4 linked regions of the Elephas maximus indicus genome follow. The protein of the gene in region 3 purifies or fractionates together with the protein of the main gene of each other region. This does not show direct contact. Links are inferred from orthologs where the notes say so. Each region holds a gene or a part of one and is shown on either strand. Other genes may lie near its edges. The genes, in order: SQSTM1, HSP90AB1, IKBKG and MAP3K14.

Region 1 (7,110 bases), on a different chromosome or scaffold from region 3:
CATTGGGATGCACCATGCTGCGGGGCACCTCCTGAGCACATGGCGGGCGGTGGTCTCGCCGGCACTCCTTCTTCTCTGTGGGGGAAGGGTGGAGAGAGCCACTGAGGTGACACCTCCAAAGTTCTCCCCCATCCATCACCTCTGTGGGGCTGTTCATGAAACACCCAGTTCCACACAGAATTCAGTTGCTCAGGTGACAGTAACAAAGCAACCCAAGAACCTGCTGAGAGAGTCCCAATCCCTGCACCTGAAAACCGGGCATGCAGAGCCCAGCCAGCTGAGGAGCAGCAGAGAGCTGTGCTGGCACACTCTGGCTTTGCTCCTCACTAAAATAAAGCTTGTACTGTACCCCCAACGCTTCCTCCAGCCCCATGGCACTTGGTTTGGGCACATCAAGAGTGGACTCAGAGACCCTATAGACCCCACTCAGTACATGATGAACATGGACTCCTTTCTGAGGGCAAACTTGGCATTTATTATGACTCTGTCTAGCCCTCAGATTCCTAGCCCTCAAGCCCTATATTTACTCAGCAGGGAACACCTGGCTTCAGGTCACACCCAGAGTAGCCCCTTACCTTTTATGTAAATACGGAAGATGTCATCCTTCACATAGGACATTGCCATTGTCAGCTCCTCATCACTAGAAAAGGCAACCAAGTCCCCATCCTCATCTAGATGGTTTAAAAGACAGCACATGAGTACCTGGGGCTTCCAGATGGATACAAGTTGCTCAAACCAGCTGAGGCCAGTGCTGAAGGGACATTTCAAGGGCTATAAACTGGAACCCCTGTGTGAACTGGGGGAGGTAGGGATGACAGGTGAGATTGCCCATTCACTCTGATGTTGTTAGGAAGGTAAGGACTTCAACATGGGGCCCTGGATCCATGCCAGAGGCAGGTGTGTGTGTGCAGGGCACCACAACAGTGATAGCTGGCCACCCCCTGCTCTGTTTTTGAGCCCCTGGTCCATATCCAACCAGGCCCATCCTCAAATGTGGGAGATCCTGCCTTTGACCAGTTCCTGGGGGACCCAGCCCTCCAAAGGCCTTGGGCTTCTTAAGGTTTAGGAAAGTAATAGATAAGCCGGGGCTTAGAACCAATTCATTCCAGTTCGACCCCCTGCTGAGAATTTGCATTTCCACCCCCCCAGATATACTGAATAATAATCTACTTAAGAATTAAAATGCATATGTAAGAATCACCTGGGGGATCTTGCTAAAATGTAGATTCTGATTCAGTATATCTAGGGTCAAAATGCAAAGTCTCAGCAGGTGGAACCTGAATGAACCTGTTCAAAGTGCTGCTAAAATACCATATTTGGATGTAGTCTCCCATTTTTAGATGTTGGCTCAAAGGGTTTTAAACCACCACCATGCAGGACAAATCACACCATCCATCTGCAGACTGAATAGGGCCTGTGGGTCACCAGATCACAACATCAGGAATAGGGGCGGTGCCAAAAGGTGGAAACAACACAGGTGTCCATCAACAGATGAATGGAAAAACACAATGTGGTATATCCATACAATGGACTAGTATTCCACCATAATATTACATCATGCTACAACATGGATACATCTTGAAAACGCTATGTTAAGTGAAAGAAGCCAGTCACAAAAAACCACATGATTCCATTTATATGAAATGCCCAGAACATGCAAAGCTATAGAGACAGAAAGTAGATTATTGGTAGTTTAGGGCTGGAGGTAATCAGACTGCTAGGGTAGGGGTGATAGCTAAAGGGTATGGGGTTTCAAGGTGATGAAAATGTTCTGAAACTGTGGTGATCGTTGCACAAACCTGTGAATATGCTAAAAACCATTGAGTTATATACTTTTAATGGGTAAATCGTATGACATGTGAATTACATCTCAAAAAAATTCCCAAAAAAAGATAGGGGCGGACCTGGCAGGCTGGCAGCACTGCTGAGGGAGGTCCCAGCACTGTCCCCTCCCAGAGGCTGGCCCTGGATGCTCCGCCCTCCCTTTCACAACCAACTTCCTCAACCCCACCCCCAGGAGTCACCTGTAACACAAGCACAGCCCAAGCTAGCTCCTGGGCCCGCAAAGGCTTCCCAGCCTCCATCCCTACACCAATGTTCCTGAAGAACCTTTGATCTTGTCCGTCTCTCCAGACTATTAGATAGTCAGTACTCTGCCTGGCCTTGGGCGTCCTGTGATCTGGCCCCGACCTCTCTTCGCAGAGACTATCTCGGGATAGTTCCCCGCACCCCACACTTGTTTACCTACGTCATTCCTCCCCCGCCCCTGGCGCCCCTTCCTCCAGGTCGGCTCCGCCCAGGCTCTGTAGGGGTAAATCTGAACCCGCTAGAGGACCCAGACTCCAAAGCCGCAAGATGTCAGTGTAACCTTAGTGCCCGCGGCCCCCGAAAAGCCGAAAGGACGCCTGCGCGTCCTTGCCAAGCTGTGCAGCATCATGGCGGGGGGAGGGGTGGAATCTGGCGCCCCCAGACCTGAGATCCGCCCGTAGAGTGTGGCAGCCCCTGGCCCCAAAAGGGCTAGCGCTTAACAGCTGGAACTGGGCCGGAACCGAGTCTTGGTCCCTACTCCTGGCACTTCCAGACTGGCACCCGGGGCCGAAGTGTGGACCCGCCGCGAGCCACTGCTCACCCAAAAGCCAGAGCAGCCCTCCCTCACCCCATCAGGCATCGACGGGAAGGAAAGGCAGCCACCCAAGCCCCACAGGGCAGGCCGTACAGAGGCCGCTCGGCCTGCGTCACTGCCACCGCCCCCGGCCCTGCTCACCGCGGTAGTGCGCCTGGAAGCCGCCAGGCCGCAGCGCCGGGAACAGGGCGGCCACCCGGCTCAGCAGCCGCTCGCAAGGCCCCGGCCCAGTCGCGGCCTCGGCTTCGGCTTCCGCCTCGGGGCTGAAGCAGAAGCTGAAGCGGCGGATTTCGCGGGCCGCATCCTCCTTGCCTAGAAGGTAGGCCTTGACTGTGAGCGACGCCATACCCCGTTGACGAAGGAGCTGGAACGGAGCTGTACAACGCTGGCCGCAGGCGCGCGGCCTTTATAGGAAATGCGGGAAGCCCCGCCCCACCCGGCCACCTGGGGGCGGGGTCTCCCGGCGAAGTCCTAGCTCCCACCTCCAGACCGCGGCGCGCGCAAGCCGCCCTGCGGGGGCCCCTCACCCGCTGCCACCCTACGTCTCCTGTGACCACCCCCCTCACGGTTGCCGAGGCCCGTTCACTGCCGCCCGTCTCCTCACTGCCCCCAGTACAGCAGGGGCCCCAAGAAGCCCGCCCCGTTAGTCCGACGTCTAAGCTGGGCTCTGGTCTCTACTCCTGGGGCAAGAGGCAGGCAAGGGGTCCCTCCCAGGCCTGGGCCTGGCCATGACTCAGCAAAGTGTCCCCAGGCCGCCGAGGGATGCCTAGAGCAGGGGGTGGGGGGGCACAGAGGCTAGACGCCAGGAGGTGCCTAAGCAATCTAGTGAGCACTGCGGGCCAGAGCAAGCAGGCCCCCTGGGGTGGTACAACGGGGTGGTAGAACAGGGTGCTACCTGCCAGCTTGGTAGCCTCCAGGCCGTTCGGGACAATCAGCCTCTCCCGGGGCGGGGGTGGGGGGTGGGGAGCACACAGCGTCCTCCCTGGCGATTTATCCCCCATCCACCAGCTGTGCCCCCAGCTTAATGGGTGAGCGAGATAGGTTGAGAGGTGCTAGGAGAGCACAGGGGACAGGGGTTGGTGAATATCCCTACACCCGGCACTTCAGTGCAGCCCAAGAGACTCCTGCTGAGTCCCCAGATGCCCACCTGTCAGCACAGGGTTCAATTCAGCAGGTGGTGCCCAAGGGCCCCTGAGTTCACAGCTTGTTGACCTCATGGGCAGGGGGTCAGACCAACTCCCCTAGAGCTATGAGCCTAGAAACACTGCTTTATGTGACCAAATAGACCTGTTTGAAAGGCCTGGGGAGACACCTTGGAAGGAGTTGGGCAGGAAGGGTATGTCACCCTATATTGCACCCAGATGGGGTCCTGTCATGCTTTTTCACGGTTGGCTTTGTGGAAGCGCGAGGGCTGGGAAACCCAGAGACCAAGGGAAGTTTGGTTGGGCTAGGGGATAGTCAAATGCGAAAGTGACTTCCATGTGGGAGCACACAGGGGCTTGTCCACAGGTGTGGCTGATCTTTCCCTGAGGGCTCCAGACAGCTCCTCGCACCCCTGCCCGGAGCAGCGCTGTGGACAGGAGAGTCCCTCTCCACCCCTCCCCCCCGCGTCTCCGCGGTGACCCTCAGCCGCTGAGACCCACGGCCCTGCCGGAAGGGTCAGGGTCTGGGAAGAAAACTGGGGCCGCTGGCAGGAGCGAGGGCGTATGACTCAGCAGCGCCCCATGGGAGACACGCAGCCCAGGCGGTTGGGCGAAGAGCGCGCTTCCTGCCCCAGCTCGGCCGGCCACCCCGCCCCCAGAGCTTCAGGGTCCGGGTCCGAGCACAGTGTGGGCTGAAGAGTGAAGTCATCTGGTTAGGGGAACGCAGGTTTCAGGAACAGCCCAAGGCGCGGCCCTTGCCCAAACAAGTAGTGGGACTCTTTGGCTGCCTCTAGGAACTCCTTTGCTTTCTTAACTTTTATGTCCGTTTGGGACCGTGGTGGGCTTGCAGGGAGGGGTGGGGAAGCTCAGAGAGAAAGGGGTGGCAAGAAATGGGCTCTGGGGAGCAGGCCTGAAGACCGCCACCAGCCCCCAGCTACCGGCCCCTGCCCGGGCTAGTCCGGGTCCGGCCCTTCCCAGCAAGCTCTGCTGTTGAGCACGGCCCAGCCCTCCCCGCCCCCAAGGCCCGCTGAGAGGTAAACAAGACTGTGCGCTGGGGAACCCCCTGGCAGGGCCCTTTCCGCCTACCCCCCGGTGGTCAGGCGGTCCTGCCGTGAGTCAGCGTCCCATGATCGCCATCATGAACTGCGGATCCCCGGCCACCACTGACCCCTCTCAGTGACATCTTACTGAGAGACTGGGTGGAGAGAGGCCCTGGGGGTCTGCGTGAGTCCCACCTGGACCCCGCAGCAAGAAGAGTGCGCAGAGGCGGGGGAGTGGGGGGGTGGGGGTGGGGGGAGGGACCGCAGGGCACCTAGTTGATGGCTGGAGCAAGACGCCCTCCCTGTACAGCCGCCATTCTCTGTCTTTCTCCTCCGTGGGAGGCAGAGACACCGCCCCCTTCCCCAGACACCTCCCCTGTGTCCACTGACCCGCTTCCCACTTTCCAGGGCATGTGCACTCAGCAAGCTGGAAAAGCTTGGCCCTGAGTTGGAGACTTCTGCAATAGACCGCCTTTGGACTAATGCTTCTCAGTTTCCTCATCTTAGAAATGGGGCCCGAGTGGGATGATGTGATGTCCCCACCCAGGTGAGGCCCCTCAGGTGTGCTAGTTGTTCTTTGTCTGCTTTTGGCCTTGTGAGCTGAGGGGGGTTGGGGAGAGAACAAGGAGTTGAGAAGGTTAAAGAGTGGGAGACACAGAAGAGACCTGAGTTAAGAGGTTCTGGGAGGGCCAGGAGGACATCCGATTTTGTTTAGTACTGTCTGGTGTGCTGTAATCACCTCTTCAATCCCACCCTGCCCCACCCCCCAAATAATCCCATCACAATGATTTGACAGAGTTTTTCTGCAGTCCAGTTAATTTTCTTTGAGGTGTGGAGTCAAACCTCCCTAGGTGTGAGGGCTCAGAGCTAGGCCACTAGACACAAGGGGGTCCAGGCTGAGCTGCTCTGGGCTGTGCTTAAAGGAGATTAATTGAGGATCAAGGGAATGAGTCCCACCCAACCCCACCCCTAGGACTAACCCCATAACCAAACAAACCCATTGCCTTCAAATAGATTCCAACTCATAGTAACCCTATAAGGACTAAGGGATGAGTTTTTATGTCCAGGGAAGGAGTCCAAGGAGTGGGAATGCCTCTAGTCCTCCTTCACTAAAGTGTCTTGGTTCTCACACTGCCCTGGACCTGTCTGTCCCTCTCATTGACTCTGAGGGACACACCTCTGCTCACTGTTCCCAACATGCCAACTCATTCTACCTGGTGACTTTTTCCAGGCTCTTCCCTTTGCCTGTAACCCTTCCCTCCCTGGCCTGCATGGCAACCTCCCATCCTAAATGTCACCTCAGTGGGGCCTTCCCTGACCACTCCATCTGGGGAAAATTCTCACCTATTGGACACCACCTCATTTTAGCTGTTTCTGCAAGGCCCAGCCAAGAGAGTAGTGGGTAGGGAGAGGGGGAAGAGGGGCAGGAGGGGCTTGGAAGACTTTTCTATAAGAAAAAAGGGCTCAAGTCATTGGTCCTCAGGGAAATATAAGTTAAAACCACAAGGAGACATGACTGGAGAGTTAAGTGACCCCAAGTGTTGTGGGGCACCGGGCCCTCCTGCCGGACTACTGGAGGGCTGGAGCGACCATTTTGTCTAGGGGTCGCCGGTACTAGAGGAAAGTCGTTGCTGCGCAATGGCATGGGGCCATGGGGATGGGTTTCATCAACAGAGGTGGGCCGGGGGCTAGCTCGGGGCCATGTCTGTAAATACGTATCAGAGAGCCCTGCACCAAAGAACTGCACCGACACTAAGTCCAACCGGGCGGTGCCTGGGGACCCTCGAGCGGGGATCCCAGCCCTGGGCGCCCGGCCCCAAAAGAAAGTGTGGTCCAGGAAGGAAACGGCCAGGCTCAAGCCAAGAAGGGGTCACTGGAGAGACAACCTGTGGGCCACCAAGGGGTGGGCTGGAGCCGGCCCGCGACCCCACCCTGCAGAGAGCCACGTCTGCCCATGGAACCCTGCTCCTCATGTGGACCTCTTCCAGAGCCAGGCGATGAACGGTGCTCTAGGCCTGACTGAGAGAGCCTGCTGGTGGATCAGTTTCCCCACAGCCAAGTTCGCTCTGTGCAGAAGTGGTCAGGTCACGGTCAGCCTTTCCACAGGCCCCCTGAGGCTGGTCCCAAAATGAAACATGCTTCTTCCTGGTCCCAAAGTGAAACATGCTCCTTCCTGGTCGTAGGGTCGCCCCTGTAGCTGTGGGGGGAGGGGGTGCCTCAGAGGAGGGTTCCGCACTCTATCCGGCTTCTCCCTTCCTTGTCAGTGTCCAGAGACCTACCCTGGGGTGGGCTCTGCTGGGGGCCC
Region 2 (7,197 bases), on a different chromosome or scaffold from region 3:
GACTCGCCTCTCTTCTAAGTACTCTGTCTGGTCTTCTTTAAGGTGCAGAATCACTTTCGTACCCCGACCAATGGGCTCACCTAGAAAAAGAAGTCACGTGGAACTGAACGTAACAGATAAGACCATGTAACTGTACTGTAAGACAAACTGCTTCACGATGTAACAAAATTTCTACTACAGAACACCCGCAAACAATTCTAAGACTTTTAATCTTTAACACAAAATCCACAGTACTTACCGTGGTCAGCACGAACTGTGAAAGAACCCCCAGCAGAAGACTCCCAAGCATACTGCTCATCATCATTGTGTTTCGTAATCACAACCACTTTCTCTGCCACCAAATAGGCAGAATAAAATCCAACACCAAACTGCCCAATCATGGAGATGTCTGCACCAGCCTACCAAAGAGTTAAAAAAAAAAAAAAAAAAAGGCCAGTTTTGAAAGAACTGCAAGCTGAAGAACGTGGATGAATGTAAATGGTGTGTGCCTAGCTAAAATGCTACATACCTGCAGAGCCTCCATAAATGCTTTGGTCCCAGACTTGGCAATGGTTCCCAAATTATTTATGAGATCAGCCTTGGTCATGCCAATGCCTGTGTCCACCAGCGTCAGAGTGCGTTCTTGGGGGTTGGGGATGATGTCGATTTTCAACTCTTTACCACTGTCTAACTTAGAAGGGTCAGTCAGACTCTCATAACGAATCTTGTCCAAGGCCTGAAAATAATACAAGTAACAGCTTTAGAATCTGCTTCCTTAAGCTCCATCTCTTCATCCAAAGAAAACCCTTAGGTTTTCTACTCCCAAACCACCCACTGCCATCAAGTCAATTCGGACTCATACAACCATAGAGTAGAACCGCCCCATATAGGTTTCCAAGGAGCAGCTGGTGGATTCAAACTGCCAGCCTTTTGGTTAGCAGCCACCAAGGCTCCTTTTTACTCCCAAACAGCCCCAATTTCTGATTACCCCTTAAAACAAGGCTAAAAAACCAGTCACTTAGGTAAGTGGTCTCCAAGAAGACCCCCTTCTCCTCCCTTTGAAGCTCAACATGGACCCACAGACAACAAGGTTCATTCCCTTCAACAGGGTACGGTTCACTCCAACAGTTCTTGTGTGCTAACTCACAGTGACCACACAGGACAGAGCAGAACTGCCCCAGTTTCCTAGGCTGTTATTTTTATGGGAACTCTCCAGGTTTCTTCTCCTTCACCAGTAAGCTGGAACTGCCAGCAGCCCAAAGTGCTACCAGGGGTTCCTTCCTTCAATAGATGCCCCAACCAAATGTCAAACTACCCATCTCCCTCTTCTGGAATGCTCGGACTATACCAGAAACTCACATCAGAAGCATTAGAAATCAACTCCCGAAGGAAAATTTCCTTGTTGGAATAAAAAGTATTGATGATGAGAGACATGAGCTGGGCAATCTCTGCCTGGAAAGCAAAGGTCTCCACCTCCTCGTCTCCATGGTGCACCTCCTCAGGCATCTGCAGTAAGAACAATCAGATATTACAAAGGAACAGAATACCCAGTGTTTGCCCTTTCAGTCCCAAACCCCTAAATTCCACCCCGGCCCATGTATCAAGACTAAAAAGTGGTTTAGTTCAAGGGACTTTGGGCTGAGCACTACTCACTGCCAAGAAACTGGAGGCCCTATTCTATTATGATTTTCAGAAAAACCTAGAACATTTCAACAAAACAATTTTTGGGGGGAAGGTAAGTAAAGCACTGCTACTCATTGGCCCAGGAACCTCGTTTTCTAGCACCGTGCTAAAAAACACAGAACACCGGCCCTACCCCAGGTATTTTGAACGCCCAGAGAAAACCCTACTAATACAGGTTCACATATGCAAAGCATTACCGTTTTCGACGTAAAGACTAAAACAACCTGAATACTAAATTAAAACTGAAACAGCACTAATTAAAATTAGTCCTCCATTAAAAATGTCTAATTCCGAAGAATACGGAACCGTCCAGGCACCAAGAATGCTGGCCCACGCGGAAGGGGAAGGCAACATGAGGATCGATGGAGAACCTGTCCATGAAATGCAATTAAATAGGACAAAGAACGAGAAAACAAAAGCTCCAACACGACCCCACAGCTACAAACTAAAACCTAAAACCAGAGCAAACAACTAAGATGGTGGCCGCAGCCCGCCGGACCGACCCTCGTCACTGCCGGACATGCGCCGGCTGCGGCCACGCGAGGAGGGGGCGCCGCCGCACAGCCCGCCTCCGCCCCAGCATCCGGGCACCGGGGCGGGGCGCCTGGCTCCAGAAGCTTCCAGAACAAACCCAGTTCTCGTCAGGGGCGGGAGTGATACAGAACCCATGAATCCTTCAAAGCCCCTCCCCCCCGGAATGCCAGAAAGATCTGGAAACAGGGATGAAACACGGGGGGCCGAATAACGCCGAAAGCGTCCGTGTCCCATCCCACCCCCGCCACGGACCCTCCAAAAAACGGATCTGCTGGACTTGAAGAACACCGAGCAAGTCAGCGAGTGAGGCTGGCTTCACAAGGCTGTGCTGAGTCACCTCAAACGCGCAGACCCACAACCTTAAGGACCCTTGTGCGCCCCGTAGCCACGTCCGGAAGTGTAGGGGCCAACATGGCAGCGTACCGGACCCGCGCGGCCACCACGTGCGGCTGACCACCACTCTAGACCCACACTGCGTCCCACCTCGCCCGGAGCTAGTCGCCAACTAGGGCAAACTCCGCCATCACCCAAACACATAAAAACGGAATGAAACGAAGACAAATTCGAGACCCCTTCCCACTCCTGAGAGAAAAGGAGACTTGTCCCAAGGCCGTTCCCGCACAATACCTGGAACTTGGAAACGCGAAAAGAACAACTCAAAGAAACGCTCGCGGGAGAAAAGCCGGGGAGAAGATCCCAGCCTTACCTTGAATGGGAAGGGTGACAAATACCAACGAGTCCTAGCTAAAGCCCGTGCACAGCTCGCACGATATAAAACCGCGCGGCCGGAGACTCAAGAGACCTGCCTTGCGCCCCCACTCGCTCTATATAAAGCGAAGCACAACCCGGCACCCCGGCCCGGGATCCCTCCGCCTTAAAGGAGGATGCCCGTCAGCACCGCACCTGCAGCCGCCCGCCCACCTGACGTCATGGTCCAACATGGAGTGCTGGGGGGAGATGCGGGGAGGAATAGAAGAAGCCGACTGGCTCCACAGACGCTGGATCACTGCATCAGTAACATCTACTGTGTGTTCACACACGTCTTTTATCGTGTTCACAGTCCGTTCTCTGCAGATAAAGGGCATGACCCCACCAGGATTGGGGGATTGGGAGTGTTTATATAGCATAAATGGTGACCTTAAAAAAAAAATTGAGTAGCCGCTGGCTCTCTCTAGATTTGGGGGGAATATCTGGAAAAGACCACAGTTTTAGGTGTGGGCGGCTAACCACGCCACCTCAGCTCCCAGGCCCAGCCGTCCTCCTGGAACGCTCCACACATCTCAACAAGACGGTGGGGCTTCCTTCCGGGCCTGTGTGGAACGCGAGGCTCAATTTCCGGACAGACCCCTCAACCCCGGCCCACCTGGGAACAGGAAGATGGGCCGGGGTTTGGCTAGGGGGCTGGGCGACGGCTGGGGGGAGGGGCGCTAGCTGGCAAGGGAACTTTTTGCCGGCGCTCGGCGGAAGGAGCGGTGGAGGTACTGCGAACCTTCCAGCAGTTTCTAGGCTGCTCTGGATGGCCCCGCCCCCGCTCGTCCTACCGGTTTCGCCCCTCCCACTGCGGCCGGGGCCGCGTCTCTGCGCCGGTTCTGTGCGGCGCTTCGGTTTTCATCCGAATTAGTGTAGGCGGCCGGAGGCTCAAACCTGCCCATCGGACCAGCGAGACTAGCCTTGTATGGGGGCGGAGGAGTGGAGTGGAGTGGAGCGTAAACGGGGAGATTTACTGACACTTTTTCCCCTACTCTATCAGTCACACAACACATGGGCTGTTGGGGCGGCTCCCGGGGCGGCTCCCCGGGCGCCGACTTCACCGAGCGGCTGGGGACAAAATCGGTACCAAGGACCTTCCCGGGACCTGCTGCCGCCCACGTGCAGGGGGCGCAGGGACTTGCATCCTCCCTACACCAGCACGTAGACGTTTTTTCGAAAGCTGTTTTTTTATTTTTTTTTTTTCCCTTGGGCCTGTGGGCGGTGGGGGGGGGCGGTGGTGGAATCTCCAGGGACCTGTGCAGGGTGACGGAGGTCTCAGAGGCGGCATGAATATGCTGGCCGAAGGACAGCACGCTCCAGACGACCCGAACCAAATTTGTTCCCCTTTGGCTGCAGCACCGGAGCACCAGGCCGTGCGCCTGCCTAGCGAGCTGCTGACGCCAAGCCTCTCCTGCCTCTCTGCCCCTCGTGCTTTCCTCTCCGGCTGGCAAGCTGTTCTGCCTTTTCAAGGCTTCCTGCGGGAAGCCTGCAGGACTCACAGCTCCTCCAGGGGAGAATGGTGACTCCCTGTTGTGTACATGTTCATCATCTCCTTTCCCTGTCTTCTCTGCACCTGGAATATTGGGGAGGGGTTCCCCCACCACCACTTTTCGGTGCTCCCTCACCAGCCCTGGCACCCGGTCTTCCTTCAAATTCTTTGTTCTTTGTTGAATTCCAGAGAACGAAAGACTCCTGCTTTTCTCTTCTTGCCGCGGCACTCTTCCATCCCATAATCTCTGCTGCCACCACACACTTTTTATCTTACCTTGCCGTTCTACGTGCCTTTATAGGATCTATGAGAAGCCTAGGGCCACGAGAAGTCCGATGAGTGTGGGGGTCTCATAGGCCATGCTGTCAGGAATTCTCCAGCATGCTCTGTTTCTGATCAGATCTCTAACCAGAACCTCATATCTCAGCATACCCTTTCTCAGAAATCTGCTCCCCAGTCACAAAGAACATATTCACAACATCTCACAGCCTTGAGGGAGGTAAAAGCAACTCCGCCTTCCATGGACAGGGAAAAGCAGGTTTCAGTGACACCAGAATCACTCAGCTGAGAGCCCTTGTTCCTCCAGCTCTGTCCCTGCTCCAGAAATGGGTTGGGGGGTGCTGTCTCCCCTCTGAGACCCAAGTCCAAAATGGACCAGGAATTACTCCTGTGGATGGGCTTCCCCTGAACTGGACTCCTGCTCTGTCACAATAGGGCCCTCTTCCAGCACTTCCCCAAATGAGAAAATCTCAAACCTTGAGCCAGTGCAGAAATTCCACCTTTTTCAGTGCAAAAATTCCACCTTTTTGTCCAGGAAGTCTGTAAGGATGACCTCTACCTGTGTCCAAGAGCTCTACCCTGGGGATGCAGGGATGTCCACACAGAACAAGGAGCCCCCAATTGAGTGGAGCTGTAGCAGGCCAAGTGTGAGACAGAGGGGTATGGGAGGAGCAGCAGAGGCCCCAACTTAGGCTGGGGAAGGGGGCATGCTTAGGGGTATGGCACAGGTCTACTCCCAGGAGAGGGAGAAGTATGGAAAGGCACAGAGATCCAAGAGAGGGACCAAAACTCAAAAACCCATGAGGTCAATATACCAGGAGGATATAACCATTGTAAATATTTATGCATCCAAGGACAGGGCTCCAAAGTACATAAACTTTAATGGCTTTGAAAAAAGATAGCTCCAAAATAACAGTAGGAGAGTTCAACACACCACTTTCGGAGAAGGACAGAACATCCAGAAAGATGCTCAATAAAGACAGAAGATCTGAATGCCAAAACCAATGGTTATGATTTCACAGGTATATACAGAACGCTCCAACCAGTGGCAGCCAAATATATTTCGTTCCCAACACACATGGAACATTCTCTACCGTAGACTATATATTAGGCCACAGAGCAAGCCTTAATAGAACCTAAAACATCGAAATATTACAAAGCATCTTTTCTGATGATAAAGCAATAAAAGTAGAAATAACAGAACAAGCAAGGAAAAAAATCATAAATGGAAACTGAACAACACCTTGCTCAAAAACTACTGGGTTATAGAAGAAATTAAGGACGAAATATAGAAATTCATAGAATCAAATGAGAATTAAAACACTTCCTATCAGAACTTTTGGGACACAGCAAAAGTGGTGCTCAGAAGTCAATTTATAGTAATAAATGCAGACATACAAAAGGAAAAAAGGGCCAAAATCAAAGAATTATCCCTACAACTCAAACAAATAGCAGCAGAAGAAGACCTCAGGCAGCAGAAGAAAGCAAATAATAAAAATTAGACCAGAATTAAATAGAGAACAGAAAAACAGTTGAAAGAGTTAATGAGACCAAAAGCTAGTTCTTCGAAAAGATCCACAAAATCGATAAACCGTCGGCCAAACTGACAAAAGAAAAACAGGAGATGAAGCAAATAACCCAAATAAGAAATGAGATGGGTGGTGTCACAACAGACCAAACTGAAATTAAAAGAATCATAACAGAATACTATGAAAAATTATACTCTAACAAATTTGAAAACCTAGAGGAAATGGATAAATTCCTAGAAACACACCACTTACCTAAACTAAGAAAAACATAGGTAGAACAACTAAATAAACCTATAACAAAAGAAGAGAGTGAAAAGGTAATTTAAAAAACTCCCATCAAAAAAAAGCCCTGGCCCTGACAGCTTCACTGGAGAATTCTACCAAACTTCCAGAGAAGAGTTAACACCACTACTACTAAAGGTATTTCAGAGCATAGAAAAGGATAGAATACTCCCAAGCTCATCCTATGAAACCAGCATAATCCTGATATCAAAACCAGGTAAAGACACCACAGAAAAAGAAAATTACAGACCAACATCCCTCATGAACTTAGACACAAAAATCCTAAACAAAATTATAGCCAATAGAATCCAACAACATATCAAAAAAATAATTGACCATGACCAAGTGGGATCCATACCAGGTGTGTAGGGATGGTTCAACATTAGAAAAACAATCAATGTAATCCACACGATCTTATTAATTGGTACAGAAAAGGCATTTGAGAAAGACCAACACCCGTTCATGATAAAAACTCTCAGCTAAATAGTAATAGAACCACACGACAACTAAGAGCCCAAGAGACAGAAAGGGCCACATGAACCAGAGACCTACATCATCCTGAGACCAGAAGAACTAGTTGGTGACCGGCCACAATCGATGACTGCCCTGACAGGAACCACAGCAGAGGACCCCTGAGGGAGCAGGAGATCAGTGGGATACAGACCCCAAATT
Region 3 (7,426 bases):
TATCAGATGGAGGAAGATACATCCTTCTAGGTCCAAGGTTCTTTCCCCCACGCTGGTCCATAAGGAGAAACTGGTTTCTTTCATTTGAGCTTTCTGGGCTGGGATCCCTGCCACTGGGAAAGTGAGCTCTTCTACTCCCTTCCTGGGTCAGGGGTGGGGGTGGGGGTGGGAAGAAAGGCCTGAGAAAGGGGAAGTGGCCACATAGCAGGGAGACAGGGGCTCAAAGCTCGTTTTGTAACTCTGTGAGGCAGAATCAGGCTGCCCCCAGGAAGAAGCTGCAGTGTGGGTTTGGGTTGGGTAAGTGGGTGCAGGAGGCAGGAGGGGCAGAGCATGGCCACATGGGTCTGACCTGCTCAGGTTCTGGGCCCGCTAGCCACTGGCCTCCTGTCAGCTTCTAGGTCACATCCAGTTTGCTCTGACTCAGGGCTTTGCCTCTGCTCTTCCCTTTGCTCAGCAAGTTCCCCTGGGGCCTCGTGCTGCAGACCTCAGTATCAGGTGCCTCCCCCTCCCCAGGGCCCACCCTGACCACACCTCTCAAGGCCTCTGGCCCCCTCCCAGCCCTGTTTGTTTCTCCTGTCACAGGTACTGCTCTGAACTCACCTTGCGTCCCCAGCCTCCCATAAAGCACAGGGCCATGAGGGCAGGGATTGTGGCTGCTGTGGTCTTGGTGTTGCCCAATGCCTAGCACAAGGCCAGGGACAGCAGAGGCCGGTGACGGCTACTTGTTGAATGAGTGAGCAGAGAACGCAGTTTCCCAAAGCACCACCCTGCCTACCTCTGCAGCACAGGATGGGAGCTGTTCCAGGTGCTATCAGAGCACCCCGGGTGGATGCCCCCACAATGCTCCCTCTAGTCCTTGCTCCAAGGGAGGACCTGCCCACCCTGCTCCAGTCCCCTCAAGCAGGAGAAGAGTCAGGAGAGAAACAACACAGGCTCTTAGGAGGACCCCTGGCCCTGCACTCCACGCTGCGAAGCCAGCACTTCCCATCTCTGCTTTGGAACCTCTGGCTGTTGCCCCTGGGCAGAGGAGAGCAAAGGGGAACCCTGCTGGTTGCGTTGGAATAGCGTTGCCTAACCCCAGGCTAAGGAGCCCTAGTGGTGCAATAGTTAAGTGCTTGGCTGCTAACTGAAACACTGGTGGTTTGAACCCACCCAGCGACTGGGCGGGGGGAAGATCTGGCAATCTGCTTCCATAAAGATTACAGCTTAGAAAACCCTATGGGGCAGTTCGACTCTGTCACAGAGGATTGCTCTGAGTTGGAATCGACTCGATGACACCTAACAACAACAGCCACCACCACCCCAGGTTGGCCACAGGCGAAGACAGCAAAGAGCCATAAAACCAGCTCGGCAGAGCCTGTGGACCCTTGTCATTCATTCAGAAACGCTCAATTGATATGTGCTGAGGTCTAAAGCCCCAGATCACACAGCCTATCTGGATGCTGTCAATGATGAGACCCAAGACTCTACAGATGAGTCTTAACCCATCTGTGTGGGACCTGGCAAACTCTGTTGGTGTATCCTTGCAACAGGCCAGTGTGGGGATGGGGAAAGGAGAAGAAAAAAATCCCGAATTATTTTCTCTTTGAGCCTGTTTCAGGGACTAAGGGCCTCACAGCCAGGATACTAGGTGTTAAGGTTTGTGGCTGATGCAGATATGACTCCTCTAAGGGGACCGTGTGCTTTGCCTGGGTGGGGGTGGACAACACCCACCTTTCTCAGGTTTTGGGGTTCTGGGTGAGGCAGAGGGCAAAGCCCTTTTCTCTCGTACTGGCTCTTCTCCTAGAGTACAGCTCATTCTAGCTTGCTTGCCTTCTTGTTATTTTCGGCTCTCCTTCCCAATTTCTGACCAAAGACACAAAGGCACAGAGCAGGCTCTGTAAAGGGTGGCGGCAAGTTGTTCTCTGTGAACAAAGAGCTGCCAAGTGCCTCCAGCACGAGGGGGAAGGCAGCCTGTGGTGTGAGAGTTGCAGAGCACTGCCCACTCTGTACGGCTCTAGCTAGTTTGGGTAGAACTCTTGCTCAAGATTACATAATCAGTTAATGGCAAAGATGGCCATATGAATGCTAACAGGTTCTTGGTCACACTCATGTTTAAGTCAAGAGGCAGCCCTGGCTGCAGGTCTAGCAAGCCCCTGCACATCTCACGCAAGGCAGATCTTATCTGCATATAGCACACTGGATAGGGGCTGTGGTCCGGGGGCCACAGCTTTACTAGGACCACCCCCTCGGCCCCCCAACCTCTTCCTTACATGTGCTATACCTCTGCCTTTATATTGATTCTTTGTCCTTCCCTATCAAAGCAAAATGGCAGTTCCACAAACTAGACACTTGGGGTGGGACAAGGAACAGCTCTTTAGCAGGCCTTAGCGGTTGGGGAAAAGATATGGTATGAAAAGCAAAGCTGAATGTTTGTCCCCAGGGATGATGAGGTGGTAGAAAGAGGTGATGATTGGGCCTCAGATCTTTCCTCTGGAACAAATTAACTGTGTGATGTTCATCAAGTCACCGACAAGTTTGAAAAAGATGCTCCCAGAAAGAATAGCTTCCCCTGTCTGCGGCTCAGTTTTCTCAGTGGAGGGGGAGGAAGTCCCTCAGGCCCTTCCAGTTTCAGGTCTACTTTCAAGGTCTGAGCATGGATTTAGAAATGCCTCCCAAGTGTCGGTACAGCAAGGAGTGCTGTGATGACAGTGGTGCCTGGGCAGGTCACGGTTATAAGAGTGAAACCTCGCAGTGCCTGAGTGGCCGCTGCACAGTTAGTTGGGATAGGTCAGGTGCAGAGCCAGACGATGCCTTGGGCAATGTCACACAGTAAGTCTGGCTTCTGAGATGTGGCTGTGGGAGACTCACCGAGGCGCCCATGATGATGAATATGTGTGTATCAGACTGGTGGAAGGCATCGCCCTGGTACAGCTCTTCCCGGAGGATCCCGCACACCTGGGTCCGGCTCAGGGCCACCTGCTCAGCCATGGTGTTCTCTGGGGAAAGAAAGGCTCGTTGACAAGCCCACAGAGGAGAAGCACCTGGAAGGGGGCCTCTAGGCTCTCAGCAGGCTGACGCCTGGTTACTGAAACCACTGGCTGTGAACGTGCCCGGGGCGGCCAGGTTGGGTTAGAAACTCTTGGCTCTGGGCTCTGGCCATACTTTCCCAGGCTCCAGCCATACTCTCCCAGGCTGCCTTCTTTCAGGGAGTACATTCTGGACCTCACACAACACGATCATGACCCTTTCACTCTAAAATCCTGCACTCAGGCGGGAACTCATCAATGCGCGGGATCCTGGTAAACTTAGCGGATGATGGAGTCCGCTTCAGCTCTACTGCTGCTAACCTGGGCGACCCCGGGCAAGTCCCCCCTTCTCAGGGTCTCAATGTCCTCACTGGCCCGATGAGAGGGGGGTTGCATTGGACACTATGATCTGTTAAGGCCCTCTCACTCGATCCGCTACCAAGTACAGCAAATACCGCCAATCCAAAGGACGTCTTGAGGTAGCGAGCAGCACGTCCTTCCGCTCTCTCGGTCCGCCCGACTCGGTTACCTGTACCGCCTCGCTGTCGCCTGCAGCGCTCGCAGCCCGGGAGTGCGCGCTCATTTCCGGGGGCTGCGCCCCGCGAGCCCATTTAACCGGCGGGGCGGGGGCCTCAGCTGAGCTGATGGGCCTCAGGCGAGGCGCGCGGGGCGGGGCCTCGACAGGCCCCTCCCGCGCGGGGCGGGCTGGGGCGACGGTGCGGGGGTGGGGGGAAGAGGACAGGTGCGCGCGCATCCCCGGCCCAGCTCGCGCGCCAGCCAACCCCCCCCTCCACCCCGCTCTCACTCCGCCCCTCAGGCACCTGCGCCGGCCGTCAGGCCGTGGACTGGCTCCCGTCCCCGTTGCGGCTGCTCCGCATCACCGGCCGCCTCTCTAGGGGTGAGGCTTCGCGCGGCCTGGTGCAATTCCGCGTCGTTCACCGGAGTCCCCATCTCCAGCCCAGCCCAGCCCCGCCCTGACATCCTGGTTTTCCCGCCAGCCCCCAGGCGACCATGAGCCCTCGCGGAACGCTCGACTTCCGCCGGCAGTGTAACCACGCCTCCTCTGGCTCCTCCCCCTGGCTTCGGGGCAGGGGTTCTGAAGCCCCGCCCCCTCACGGACCGGTCGCCTGCTCTCGCGGGTCAAACCGGCCCTATTGGTTGGCCTCGTCTTGGCTCCTCCCCCGATAGGGGCGGGGCGATCGATCGCCCCGGGAGGCGAAGGGAAGTGGAGGTTGCAACGTCTTGGAAAAGGGCAGGTGGCTCTCATCGTTTGGATTCGTGGTCCGCGGGACCTACCGAGGATGGTGGACTCGCGCTTTCCTCGGTGCAGGCCTCGGCCTTGAGGGAGGTGCCCGTGCAGCTCTCGAACTCACCGGGACGGGGGCTTGCCAGATTCACTTCCGTATCCCACGGCTCCGACACAGGAAGCCGGAAGTGCAGGTTTCGGCTGCAGGAGAAGGGAAGGGCGACCGCTGAGCCGGGACTTTGTTGGAGCGCTGGGGATTGTAGGAGCGCTCGCGCCCCGCTGCCCCTGCCCTTTTCGCATCGGACCGACTCTGCTGACAGGTGTGGTCCTCTTCCCTGAAGACAGGGTACCATCGGCGGGCGCTCCGCCGCCTCTCCTAGACTCCCCGGGTTTTCCGGACTGCCCCCTCCTTTTGGGCCCCGGGCTGGTTCCTGCCGCGCGCTTCTAGAGCACCGGCCGAGGCAGGCGGATTCAGGATCCAGGCTACTTCAGCGGCTAGCGGGACTGTTTTGGCACCCTGTCCCTCCGCCGCGGGGTCTGACTAGTGTGAAGAGGACTCTTTCCACTTAGGAGATATTTTTTTTTTAGTTAAGAGATATCTTCTGTCTATCAGACTTGAATGCATTTGAGGGCGTTAAGTCATTTAAAAACACCTCAAATATAGCAGCTAAATGTCTTACCTTGTATAGCTCAGTTTGGTCGCTTTGCAAAAACAATTAGTATCTGCCGAACCTCATCCCATCCCTACGACCTGAGGATGAATGAGTTGTGCCTGGCTTGTTCAAGGAACGGCAGAGCAGGCCAGTGTAGCTGGGGCAGCGTGAACAAGGGAGGGAATAGTTGGAGAAGAAGGAATAGGGACCAGATGGGACAGGGCCCTGTAGGCTGATGTAGGGACTTTGGCTTTTACACCGAGGGCAGTGGGGAGCCATGGCATGGTTCTGAGTAGAGGAGGAACATGATCGGAAGTACCTTTTAGACTGTTTTTGCTGCGTTTGGGAGAACAGACTTAGCGGGGCAAGGGTAGGAGCAGGGTGACCTGTTAGGTTATTGCAGTTATCCAGGTGAGAGACCATGGTGCCTTGGGCATTTTATTATGGACAATTCCAAAGATGTACAAAAGTAGAGAAAATAGTATAGTAAATCCCATGTACCCACCTTCCAGCCTCTACAATTATCAATTGTGGTTAATCTTGTGTAGTTTATACCCTCCGCAACCCTTTCCCATTATTTTTATTACTGTTAATAACACCTAATGAGATATAATTCACGCACCATACAACAAACACCCTTTTAAAGTACACAACTTAATGACTTTTAGTGTATTCCAAATTGTACAACTATCTCCACTACCTAATTTCACAACATTTTTATCACCTCAAAAAGAAACTGTGCCCTTTAGCCATCATCCCTCATTCCTCACCTGCCTCCTCCCAGCTGCTGGTAACTATAATCTATTTTCTGCATCTACCTGTTCTGAATATTTCATATAAATGGGGTCATACAGTATGTGTTCTTTTGTGATTGGTTTCTTTCACTCAGCATGTTTTCAAGGTTCATCCATGCCAAAACATGTGTTAGTACTTTAGTTCTGTTTATGGCCAAATCATATTCCATCGTATGTGGATGTGGAGCTCTGACGGTGCAGTAGTTAAAAGCTCAGCTGCTAACCAAAAGGTTGGCAGTTTGAAAGTTCGAATCCGCCAGCTGCTCCTCGGAAACTCTAAGGGGCAGTTCTACTTTGTCCTATAGCGTTGCTGTGAGTTGGAATCGACTTGATGGCAGTGGGTTTGGGTTTGGTTTGGTATACAGATGTACTAAAAAAAAAAAAAAAAAAAAGATTTTGTTTATTCGTTTATCTGTTGATGGCATTGGGATGGTTTCCAGTTTGGGGCTGTTGTGAGTAATGCTGCTGTGAATATTCACGTGTGGACATGTGTTTTCATTTCTCGAGTGTACTCCTAGGAGTTCCCCCATTATTTTGAAGCAAATTTCAGGCATCGTATAATTTCATTTGTGAATATTTGGGTTGCATTTTTCTAAGAAAGGATTTATTAAAAAAAAACAAACTTAACTGTGATATCCTTATCACATCTAACTTAACATTAATTGCTTAGTGTCATCAAGTGAATTTGGGGATGCATTTGATAGGACGTTCAGATGGATTAGATGTGGAAGAAAGGAGTCCAGAATGATTCCAGGGTGTCTGTCTTGATAACTGGAGAATGGATTTGCCATCAGCTGGTAACGGGGAAGGCCGGGTGGAACTGGCTTTTGGGAACTCTCAGGGGTGCAGTTTTAGATCAGTTAATGTTGAGAGCACTATTAGATATCCAGGTAGAGATTCCGTCTGGCCTGGAGATCTCTGATTTGGGGAGCCATCAGCGTTCAGTGATGGGGCTTAAAACTGTGAGACTAGATGGAATTCTCAGTGGAGTGAATGTAGCTAGAGAAGAGGTCCCAGGACAGAGCCCTGGGGCACCCCAACATGAAGGGATGGGGAAAAGAGGAGGATCCAGCAAAGGAGCCTGAGCAGGAGCAGCCAGTGAGGCAGGAGGGGAACCAGGGGAGTGGGAGGTTCTGGAAGCCAAGGGAGGAAGGTCTGTTAAAGAATCGGGGGGGAACCCCAAACCTACTGCTGTCGAATTGATTCTGACTCATAGCGACCCTCTAGGACAGAGTAGAGGTTTCCATAGAGTTTCCAAGGAGCGCCTGGTGGATTTGAACTACAGACCTTTATGGTTAGCAGCTGTAGCACTTAACCACTATGCCACCTGGGTTTCCAAGGAAGAGGGAGGAATCTAGAAGTTCCTCCTCCACATAGTCCTCCCGGGCAGGATTTCAAAGGGCTTGGGCTGCTCTCCTGCATGACCTACCTCCACTCCACAAGAGAATACAAGCGGCTCAGGCTGGCTCTTTGCCCCACTGTCTCAGGCTGAAGGCTCAGTTTTCACTTTCTGATACCTCAGCACCGATCATATGCCGGGGGCTCCTCACTCCCACCCCCTGCCCCCAGCTCCAGGGAACGCTCACCAGGCTCTGAATGGTTTAAAAAAAATGTTTTTTGATAGTAAATCCTGGTGGCTTAGTGGTTAAGAGCTACCACTGCTAACCAAAAAGCAGGTTGAGTCCACCAGGCCCTCCTTGGAAACTGTATGGGGGCAGTTCTACC
Region 4 (7,847 bases), on a different chromosome or scaffold from region 3:
TCACTCTCAGGTTATAAGACAAGCCCAGAACTTAAGACCCCATATCTAACAGACTTCAATGTCCCACCAGCTCAACTGAAATGATCTCCTACACAACTTGCCCTATGTCTGGCCTTCCATTTCTCATCTACTGCTTTCGACATTTCAGTCAGCATCACCAAGTACATGCAAAGCCTTCACACGTGCATCATTTTACGTGTTCACGCTACCCCTTGGAGCTGCTCAGCTGCACTCCTTTCCCTTACTAGGGACCTTGGTGTTCCGAGGCCAGAGGGGCTGGCTTATCCTTACAATTCCCAATAATCCACTGACACAGATTTTCCCCCCATGTCAATTTCATGCTGGTGCCGTCAAAAGTGCCCATAATGCTCCGATGTCTCCAGTTTAACTGAAACACTAAAATGGGGCAAACAGGAAGCATCAGACACAACTGCGGTAGTGACTTATTAATCATGAAAGCAGAATTTTAGTTGCATTTTAACCTTTTGCCAGGAAAAAAAAAAACAGCTTTGAGATGATGGAAGCCTTGGTAGAAATATGCTGCCTGATTGTGTATGAAGCTTATACTTGTTCTTTAGCAATGAATTAGGTTTTAAGATTTTTTAACGTTTCCCCAAGCAAGTACATCTGTCAAGTCAACCAATGTGAATCTGTCAGCTCTTCATCAAGGTGGCTAGGCCTGTCAGGAAAGCCCATGTGGTATCCATTGAAACAGGAAAAAAATAGGAAACTAAAAGTGACTTCATAGGCCAAAGGGACAGAACACTCTTAAGAGGGTGCCAACAAGGAAGAAAACAGCCCTAGATGAAGCTTCACCTCTCACATTTCTACAGATCTCTCACTAGACTCAGGTCATGGATGGACTGTTATCACTCACCAAAAAAAAATCACAACAGTTGCCTAGGGTTGGACAGCCAATCAGGGCAAGTCCACTTCTCAGCATGAAATGATACACAAACACTCCAAGCAGATCACAAAGGAGGCAATGTTCAACAGGAGAATCAAAATGAGGAACCAAATCTCCATCTGTTGAGGCGAAACAGCCTGGCCAGACATTTTTGTTTAATAGATGAAGGCTCATCTGGCAGGGTCTCTGTCAATGGTGCCACTCCCACAAACTCTGACAGACAATACCAGGGGCAAAAAACCCCTTTAGAACTCCTCCTTATCATCTGAAAACACTCAGGAGACAGCCTAAAACTTAGCAGCTTACTGCTGTCTGATTTCACAAAAGTGCTGAAACATATACCTGGGTTCTTATTTCTAAAATTAAAGTCAGAGACTACAACTTTTATTTTGAGACCTTCTGAGAAGTTCACCACACCCTTCAAAATAAATGAGGATGTCCTAAAGGTGTCTGAACATCTTAGAGGTCTGCTATCACTGAACCAAAGAAACTAACTTTGACATTACTTTAAAAAACCAAGAGTAAATCTGAATGCATCTTAAGCAAGACGAGCACCTTCTAAGTGTCTTCTCACATTAAGAGCATAAATACCACACCAAACACTGCTCCCTCTTTCCTACATCTGAGTCCCATAATGTGGTTCTGGTCCAGGGGAAGGAGTGCAGAAATGACTTGAGCGACTCAGGCTCAAGTCCCCCACTATCAATGTACGAGGCATCAGGCAATATACATAATTCCCACCACCACCTCCCTCAGGTACTTCACTTATAAAACAGGACAATACTATCTATCTTAGCACAGAGATGTCTGAAGGGAAAAAGGGGTTACAGGTATCAAGATACTTAGATACTTAAGTAAAGTAAAAAATACATCACAAATGTTAAGATACTAATCTCCCTATAATCTTTCATAAAGACCATGCTTCTAGTCAAGGGGTTTTCAACCTTTTTCCAGGAATAAACTTCAGACTGCTAGTTTGTGTCATGGTCCAATCTTATCATTTAATTTCATTTGCTTTTAGAGTTCTTAGTCCTTAAACATCACTACTGTTCTTTGGCTCCAAGTAACAAAAATAATTTTACCATTTTTACTGCTGATTTCTGTACCTTTTCTGCATTCGTCCTTTTTGAGAGCCAAGAGCAACATGTTAAACTCAGCTAGGAAGTAAACACGTTTCTGAAGTTTACCGAGAACCAGGGAGGCTCCTAGGCAGGTGGGAACCTCTGCACTGTACAAGTGTCCTCTTTCTGTCTGGTGCCCGGTCGCTTCAAGTTGCCAGGGCCACGATGGGCTTCCAAGTGGTAATATTATATCTTAGCCGGCAGATAAGAATGTCCTCAGTGGAAAGGGCTGAAGAATTAAAGAGCAGGGCTGGGGCCAGAGGAAAGAGGGAAGATGCTCCGGCGGCCAGCACTGCCCCGCTGGATGCCAAGGGCAGGCTCTGCTCCTTCTCCCCGCCTCGGAGCGTGACCCACGAACTTCCCGGGGACGGCCACGAGAGTTTCACTGGCCAGGGCAGGTGGCAAGGCGCACGGGCCGGGCGCACATCAGCATAAGACACCTTGCTCCCGGAGCGAAGAGAGCCCCGATCCTGGAGGGCACCCGGGGGGTGCGGGGAGGGCGCGGCCTAGCGGTGGGGGCATCTGAGCGCAGTGGAAGAGGGGGTGTTGGGGAAGGGGAAGCAGCGCGCCCCTGCGGGCGATTGGGGCGAGCGTGTGGCCTGGGGGGGGTGGTGAGCGGCCTGGAGGCCTGGAGCGAGCAAAGCGTGCGACTGTAGCCCCGGCAGCGCGTGTGAGCTAGGGCAGGCGGCCGGCCGCGACTGCCGACAGCCCGTGCGCGGGTGGGTCGGACCAGGAGGGCCGGGCCGCGCGGGACCGGACGGCCGGCTCCCCCGCTTAAGGGGCGGCGGCAGGCCAGGCCGTGGCCAGGCCATGGGCTGAGGAGCAAGCTGTCCCCGCCGCCCCCTGAGCGCCCCACGACGGGCCCTGGGGTCCGGCTCAGTCACCTACCGGCCGAGCGCCGATTTCTCCAGCCAGCGAGTGTCGCGCTCCTTTCTCCCACGATCTCCCGCCGCCGGTCACCGACCGCTGAGCTCCCAGCCCACGGTCGCCCCGCCCCACGGACGCCCAGCCCCGACCGCGGGCCCCGCCCCCTCATCGCCTTCCCGGCCGCCCCCGGGGCCACGCCTCCCCCGGCGGCTGCAACTTTGCCTCTCTTCGCGCCTGCTTTCTCTGGCCGCGTCTCGACCTTTGGCCCCTCCCACTCCTCCAAGATAACCAATGAGACGGGCCCAATACTAGCCCAGGCTCTCCCCGTTGTCCCGCCCCTCTAGCGGCGATTGGTTAACGAGGCCTCGTTTCCAGAAATGGGCACTATTTCCGGACAGTGTTTATAGAGAAGAGATTGCTGGGCGGACAGATTGACAGAAAGCGGAGGCGGCCGAAGTGATTGGTGTAACCACACATGCGCGCTCGGCTGCGGGCAGTCTTTTTACCGGTTGCGTTTTTCTTGAGGTTACGGGAAGGAAAGGAGAGTGTGCGCATGCGTGGGCACTCCCAGCCTCTGATTTCGGTTACCTTGGAGACGGCGAGGCGCACCCCCTCCCGGGTGTCGTTCCACTTCCCCTTTGCTGCCAGGCGGAGGCTGCTGAGGTCGGGGGTGATGGGATTAGAAATACTTTTGTTGAGCACTTACTGTATGCCTGACTCTGTAGAGTCCTTGAGGACGAGTAAGACAAGTTACGGTGCCTGCCCTCGAAAAGCTTAGGGAGCCAAGGGCCTACACAGGTCACAGGTCGGATAAAAACGTGTGTTCAAATCAGAGCCCAATGAGAGCGTGCGGCTGACGTGATGCAAAGCCTCCCCTGCCAGAGAAACAACGTGGTGCTAACCCTGGGCGAAGCATCTCCTCGCTGGGTATGCAGGTTACCAAACCAAAAACCAAAGCCATTGCGGTTGAGGCTACTCCGACTCATAGGGACCATAAAGGTTACAAAACCAGAAAGATTAAAGCCTTGCATATGCAAAGAAAGGACTTGAGTTTAAATACCACCGAGGTGTCAACAGTGCTTCTGTCTGAATGGGGAGGAGGGATTGGGGAGAGGGAGTAGAGATAGAAGGTATGGATATTTTTTATTTTCTAAGTTACCTATCTTTTTTTTCCAGTGTTTCTACAGTGAGCCAGTACTTCATAGTAAAAAAAAAAAAAATCAAAAATTATTTTTAAAAGTTTGCGAAATAAAAGATGTGCCCCTTCCATGGTAACCCCCCCCCCCATCAGGGACTCACACAAGTTGTGACTGGCTCTAATGGTAACGGTGAGGAGGCCCCATCAAAGGCAGCTGCCTTGAGCAGTCTCTAAAAGGGTTTGAACAAAGGCCAGGCCACTCTGCTGGAATCACACTTTTCAGACAGTCTTTGGTAGCTCAAAGCCTCTTTCTGAAGATCGGCACCCAACAAACACCTTCTCTTGGGTAAGGTGTTTGTTGGGTAAGGTGTTAGGGAAGACTATTCATTTAGGCACGGAGCCCTGTGGCGAGGTGGTCAAGATCTCAGGCTGCTAACTGTAATGTTGGCAGTCCGAATCCACCAGCTGCTCCTTGGAAACTCTATGGGCAGTTCTACTGTGTCCTATAGGGTCACTATGAGTTGGAATTGACTTGAGGGCATACAACAACATTCATTTAGGCAGGGGTCACAAACTCACAACCTGCGGGCCTCACCCACTCTCCCAGGCCAGAGACATGTTTTGTTTGGCTGGCCCAGTGGTTTTTATTTGTTTGTTTTTTAATTTAATACCTTAGCAGCGCCTGCAGTTCTTTACAGCCTCCACCCCTGTTGTCTTGTGTGCAACCACTTAACCTTATGCCACCTGTCTGCCCCTGAAGCATTTGAGGTTGTGGCCCCATAAAGCCTGTGCTTTGGAGCCAGATATCTGATGCAAATCCTGGCTCTGCCACTGACTAGCAGGGAGATGGTGGGTAAGAATGAAGCTGGACTGTTGGCTCCTAAAGCTCCCTCCAACCCCAGGGTTCTGTGTTTCAGTGACTCAGGGAGAGGTGGAGCTTGCCAGATGGTAGGTTACAGGTTAGTGTCCGTGGGCTTGGATTCCTGGGCTTGGATTCATGTCTTGCCTCTCCTCTCACCTGTTTCCTCTGGGCACACCACTTCTCAGGAAGGACGTGGGCACAGACCCAGATTCTGCAAATGCTCCCTGGCTCAGCTTTGCCTTCCCTCTCTTTCATCATTCCTTCTCTAGTACACAGTGCCCACGTACCTTCTCCAGGCTCCCTTGGCACTTCTCTAATCTTGGGCCCCCTGCATGCCCGACTCACCCCACTAAGGTTATCTGCCCCGAGAAGCTGGAATATATGAAGAAGAACAGGACGTCAGGATTGGTGGAAGACCCTTTAACAACTGTGATACGCAGATGTCAAAACCTTTCTTGCTGAAAGTGAAGACAACTTGAAACACTGATGGAGATCAAAGACTACAGCCTTCAGTATGGATTACACCTCAACATAAAGAAAACAAAAATCCTCACGACTGGACCAATGAGCAACATCACAGTAAACAGAGAAAAGATTGAAGTTGTCAAGGATTTCATTTTACTCGGATCCACAATCAACAGCCATGGAAGCAGCAGTCAAGTCAGAAGACACATTGCATTGGGCAAATCTGCTGGAAAAGCAAAGATGTCACTTTTAAGGCTGAGGTGCTCCTGAGCCAAGCCATGGTGTTTTCAGTCGCCTCATATGCATGCAAAAGCTGGACAATAAATAAGGAAGATCGAAGAAGAACTGATGCCTTTGAATTATGGTGTCGGTGAAGAATATTGAATAAACTATGGACTGCCAGAAGAATGAACAAATCTGTCTTGGAAGAAGTACAGCCAGAATGTTCCTTAGAAATGAGGATGGTGAGACTTTGTCTCACATACATTGGACATGTTATCAGGAGGGACCAGTTCCTGGAGAAGGACATCATGCTTGGTAAAGTAGAGGGTCAACAAAAAAGAGGAAGACCCTCAATGAGATGGATTGACGCAGTGGCTACAACCAGGGGCTCGAACATAGCAACGATGATGAGGATGGTGCAGGACTGGGCAGTGTTTCGTTCTATTGTACATAGGGACATTATGAGTAGAAACTGACTCAATGGCATGTAACAACAATGACAACACTAATGTGATTAACGGGAGAGATTGAACTCTTTGGCCCAAAGCTGTGGCTCTGGAGAAGGAATTTCACGTTAGGTTGCAGGGAAGGAACCAGGGAAAGAACTGGTAGGAACTCCTGCTGAGAATTTGCCTTTCTGTCCCAGATATGGAAACCCTGGTGGCATGGTGGTTAAGTGGTATGGCTGCTAACCAAAGGGTCAGCAGTTCGAATCCACCAGGGGCTCCTTGGAAACTCTATGGTGCCGTTCTATTCTGTTCTATACGGTCACTATGAGTCAGAATCGACTCGATGGCACTGGGTTTGGCTTTTTTTTTTTTGGTCCCAGATATACTGAATCAGAATCTACAGCTAAACAAGATCCCCAGGTGAATCTTATAGATGATAATTGTTGATAACCACTGCTCTACTGGTGGTTCTCAGAATTGGTCCCTAACTAGCAGCATAGCATCACCTGGGAACTTACCAAAAATGCAAATTTGCAGCAGGAGTTCAAACCAGAACAAATCAGTTCAAAGTCCTGGAAGGAACAAACCACCCAGTGAGGAAGATATCTGGAGACAAGCAGGGTTTTGGCTGCTTTTCTCGGTCTTTCTAAGCCCCTTCAAGTGAGCCCCTTGGAGTCTCTGAGTCTTGAAATGCTTCATTTTGCACCCCCTGGAAGGAGAGCTTCAGGGCAAAATCACTTCCTCCACGCCAGGCTAGTTAGGTCACCACAGCCTGGGATGGCTCCTAGTCCTGAGTCACTGGTATGGCCTCAGTTCTGCTTTCAATAAAAGAAATTGACATTTACAGAGTGATTCACACCTGGAGCAGTGAGCAAGGTTCTCAGCGCTCAAGGGTTTCCACATTCCACCCCAAAGGCTTGGATCTGGAAATAGAAAGGTTAGACCATGATCTTCCACAAAGAAAAATCTCAGAATAACAGCTCCTATTTTTTGAGTGTTTACTAGTTGCCAGACACTGGTAAGTACTTGCTTCTTGGGCATGATCTCACCAAATCTTCACCTCTAATCCAGGGTTTCTCAACCCTGACACTATTGACATTTTGGGTTGGATAATTTTTTGTTGTAAGGGGCTATCCTGTGCACTGTAGGATGTTTAATAGCATTCCCGGCCTCTACCCACTAGATGCCAGTAGTCCCTCCCAGCCAGAGTTGTGACAACAAACAGTGTCTCCAGACATTGCTAAATTCCCATGAGGGCAAAATCACCCCCAGTTGAGAACTCCTGCAGTTTAACTACATAGAGTCCAAAAAACCAAACCCGTTGCTGTTGAGTCTCTTCTGACTTACAGCAACCCTATAGGACAGAGTAAAACTGCCCCCTAAGGCTTCCAAGGCTGTAAATCCTTATGGAAGCAGCTTGCCACATTTTTCTGCTGTGGAGCGGCTGTTGGGTTTGAACTGCCAACCTTTTGGTTAGCAGCCAAGCCCTTAACCACTGTACCATGAGGGCTCCTTTCTACAAGGAGTAAGTACTGCTGTTATCATACCCATTTCATAGATAAAAAAAAACAAAAACAACTGAGGCTCAGAGAGAAGTAACTGACCCATGGTCACTTTGCTGTAACAGAAGATCAGGGATTCAAACCAAGTGTGACTCCAGAGCTCCTGCCCCCCTGTTTGCAGGGCTCTTCAAAGAGACAGGTCTTCCAGGAGCCAATTGCCAATTGGTTTTGTGGAAGACTGATGAAAAATGGGTAAATCTTTTAAAGAATTTTTATTGTGCTTTAAGTGAAAGTTTACAAATCAGTCTCATACA

Evidence for each region.
Region 1: the proteins of IKBKG (region 3) and SQSTM1 purify together in Homo sapiens (affinity purification with western blotting; 3 studies listed by BioGRID and IntAct, with this or other methods). This does not show direct contact. The link is inferred for Elephas maximus indicus from reciprocal best matches to the Homo sapiens genes IKBKG and SQSTM1.
Region 2: the proteins of IKBKG (region 3) and HSP90AB1 purify together in Homo sapiens (co-immunoprecipitation; 4 studies listed by BioGRID and IntAct, with this or other methods). This does not show direct contact. The link is inferred for Elephas maximus indicus from reciprocal best matches to the Homo sapiens genes IKBKG and HSP90AB1.
Region 4: the proteins of IKBKG (region 3) and MAP3K14 purify together in Homo sapiens (affinity purification with mass spectrometry; 6 studies listed by BioGRID and IntAct, counting the BioPlex papers as one, with this or other methods). This does not show direct contact. The link is inferred for Elephas maximus indicus from reciprocal best matches to the Homo sapiens genes IKBKG and MAP3K14.

The regions. Positions count from the first base shown.
Region 1 is NC_064820.1:202,022,220-202,029,329, reverse strand, and holds the start of SQSTM1 (sequestosome-1), read right to left. Parts: upstream 3,017-7,110; 5' UTR 2,970-3,016; coding exon 2,765-2,969; intron 672-2,764; coding exon 576-671; intron 76-575; coding exon 1-75. UniProt on the Homo sapiens protein: Molecular adapter required for selective macroautophagy (aggrephagy) by acting as a bridge between polyubiquitinated proteins and autophagosomes.
Region 2 is NC_064819.1:108,807,125-108,814,321, reverse strand, and holds the start of HSP90AB1 (heat shock protein HSP 90-beta), read right to left. Parts: upstream 3,016-7,197; 5' UTR 2,903-3,015; intron 1,486-2,902; coding exon 1,339-1,485; intron 716-1,338; coding exon 509-715; intron 399-508; coding exon 239-398; intron 81-238; coding exon 1-80. UniProt on the Homo sapiens protein: Molecular chaperone that promotes the maturation, structural maintenance and proper regulation of specific target proteins involved for instance in cell cycle control and signal transduction. Undergoes a functional cycle linked to its ATPase activity.
Region 3 is NC_064846.1:1,893,285-1,900,710, reverse strand, and holds the start of IKBKG (NF-kappa-B essential modulator), read left to right. Parts: upstream 1-4,409; 5' UTR 4,410-4,574; intron 4,575-7,426. Other genes in the region: G6PD (glucose-6-phosphate 1-dehydrogenase), read right to left, coding at 2,851-2,978, 3,830-3,989. UniProt on the Homo sapiens protein: Regulatory subunit of the IKK core complex which phosphorylates inhibitors of NF-kappa-B thus leading to the dissociation of the inhibitor/NF-kappa-B complex and ultimately the degradation of the inhibitor.
Region 4 is NC_064837.1:51,659,073-51,666,919, forward strand, and holds the start of MAP3K14 (mitogen-activated protein kinase kinase kinase 14), read right to left. Parts: upstream 3,018-7,847; 5' UTR 2,917-3,017; intron 1-2,916.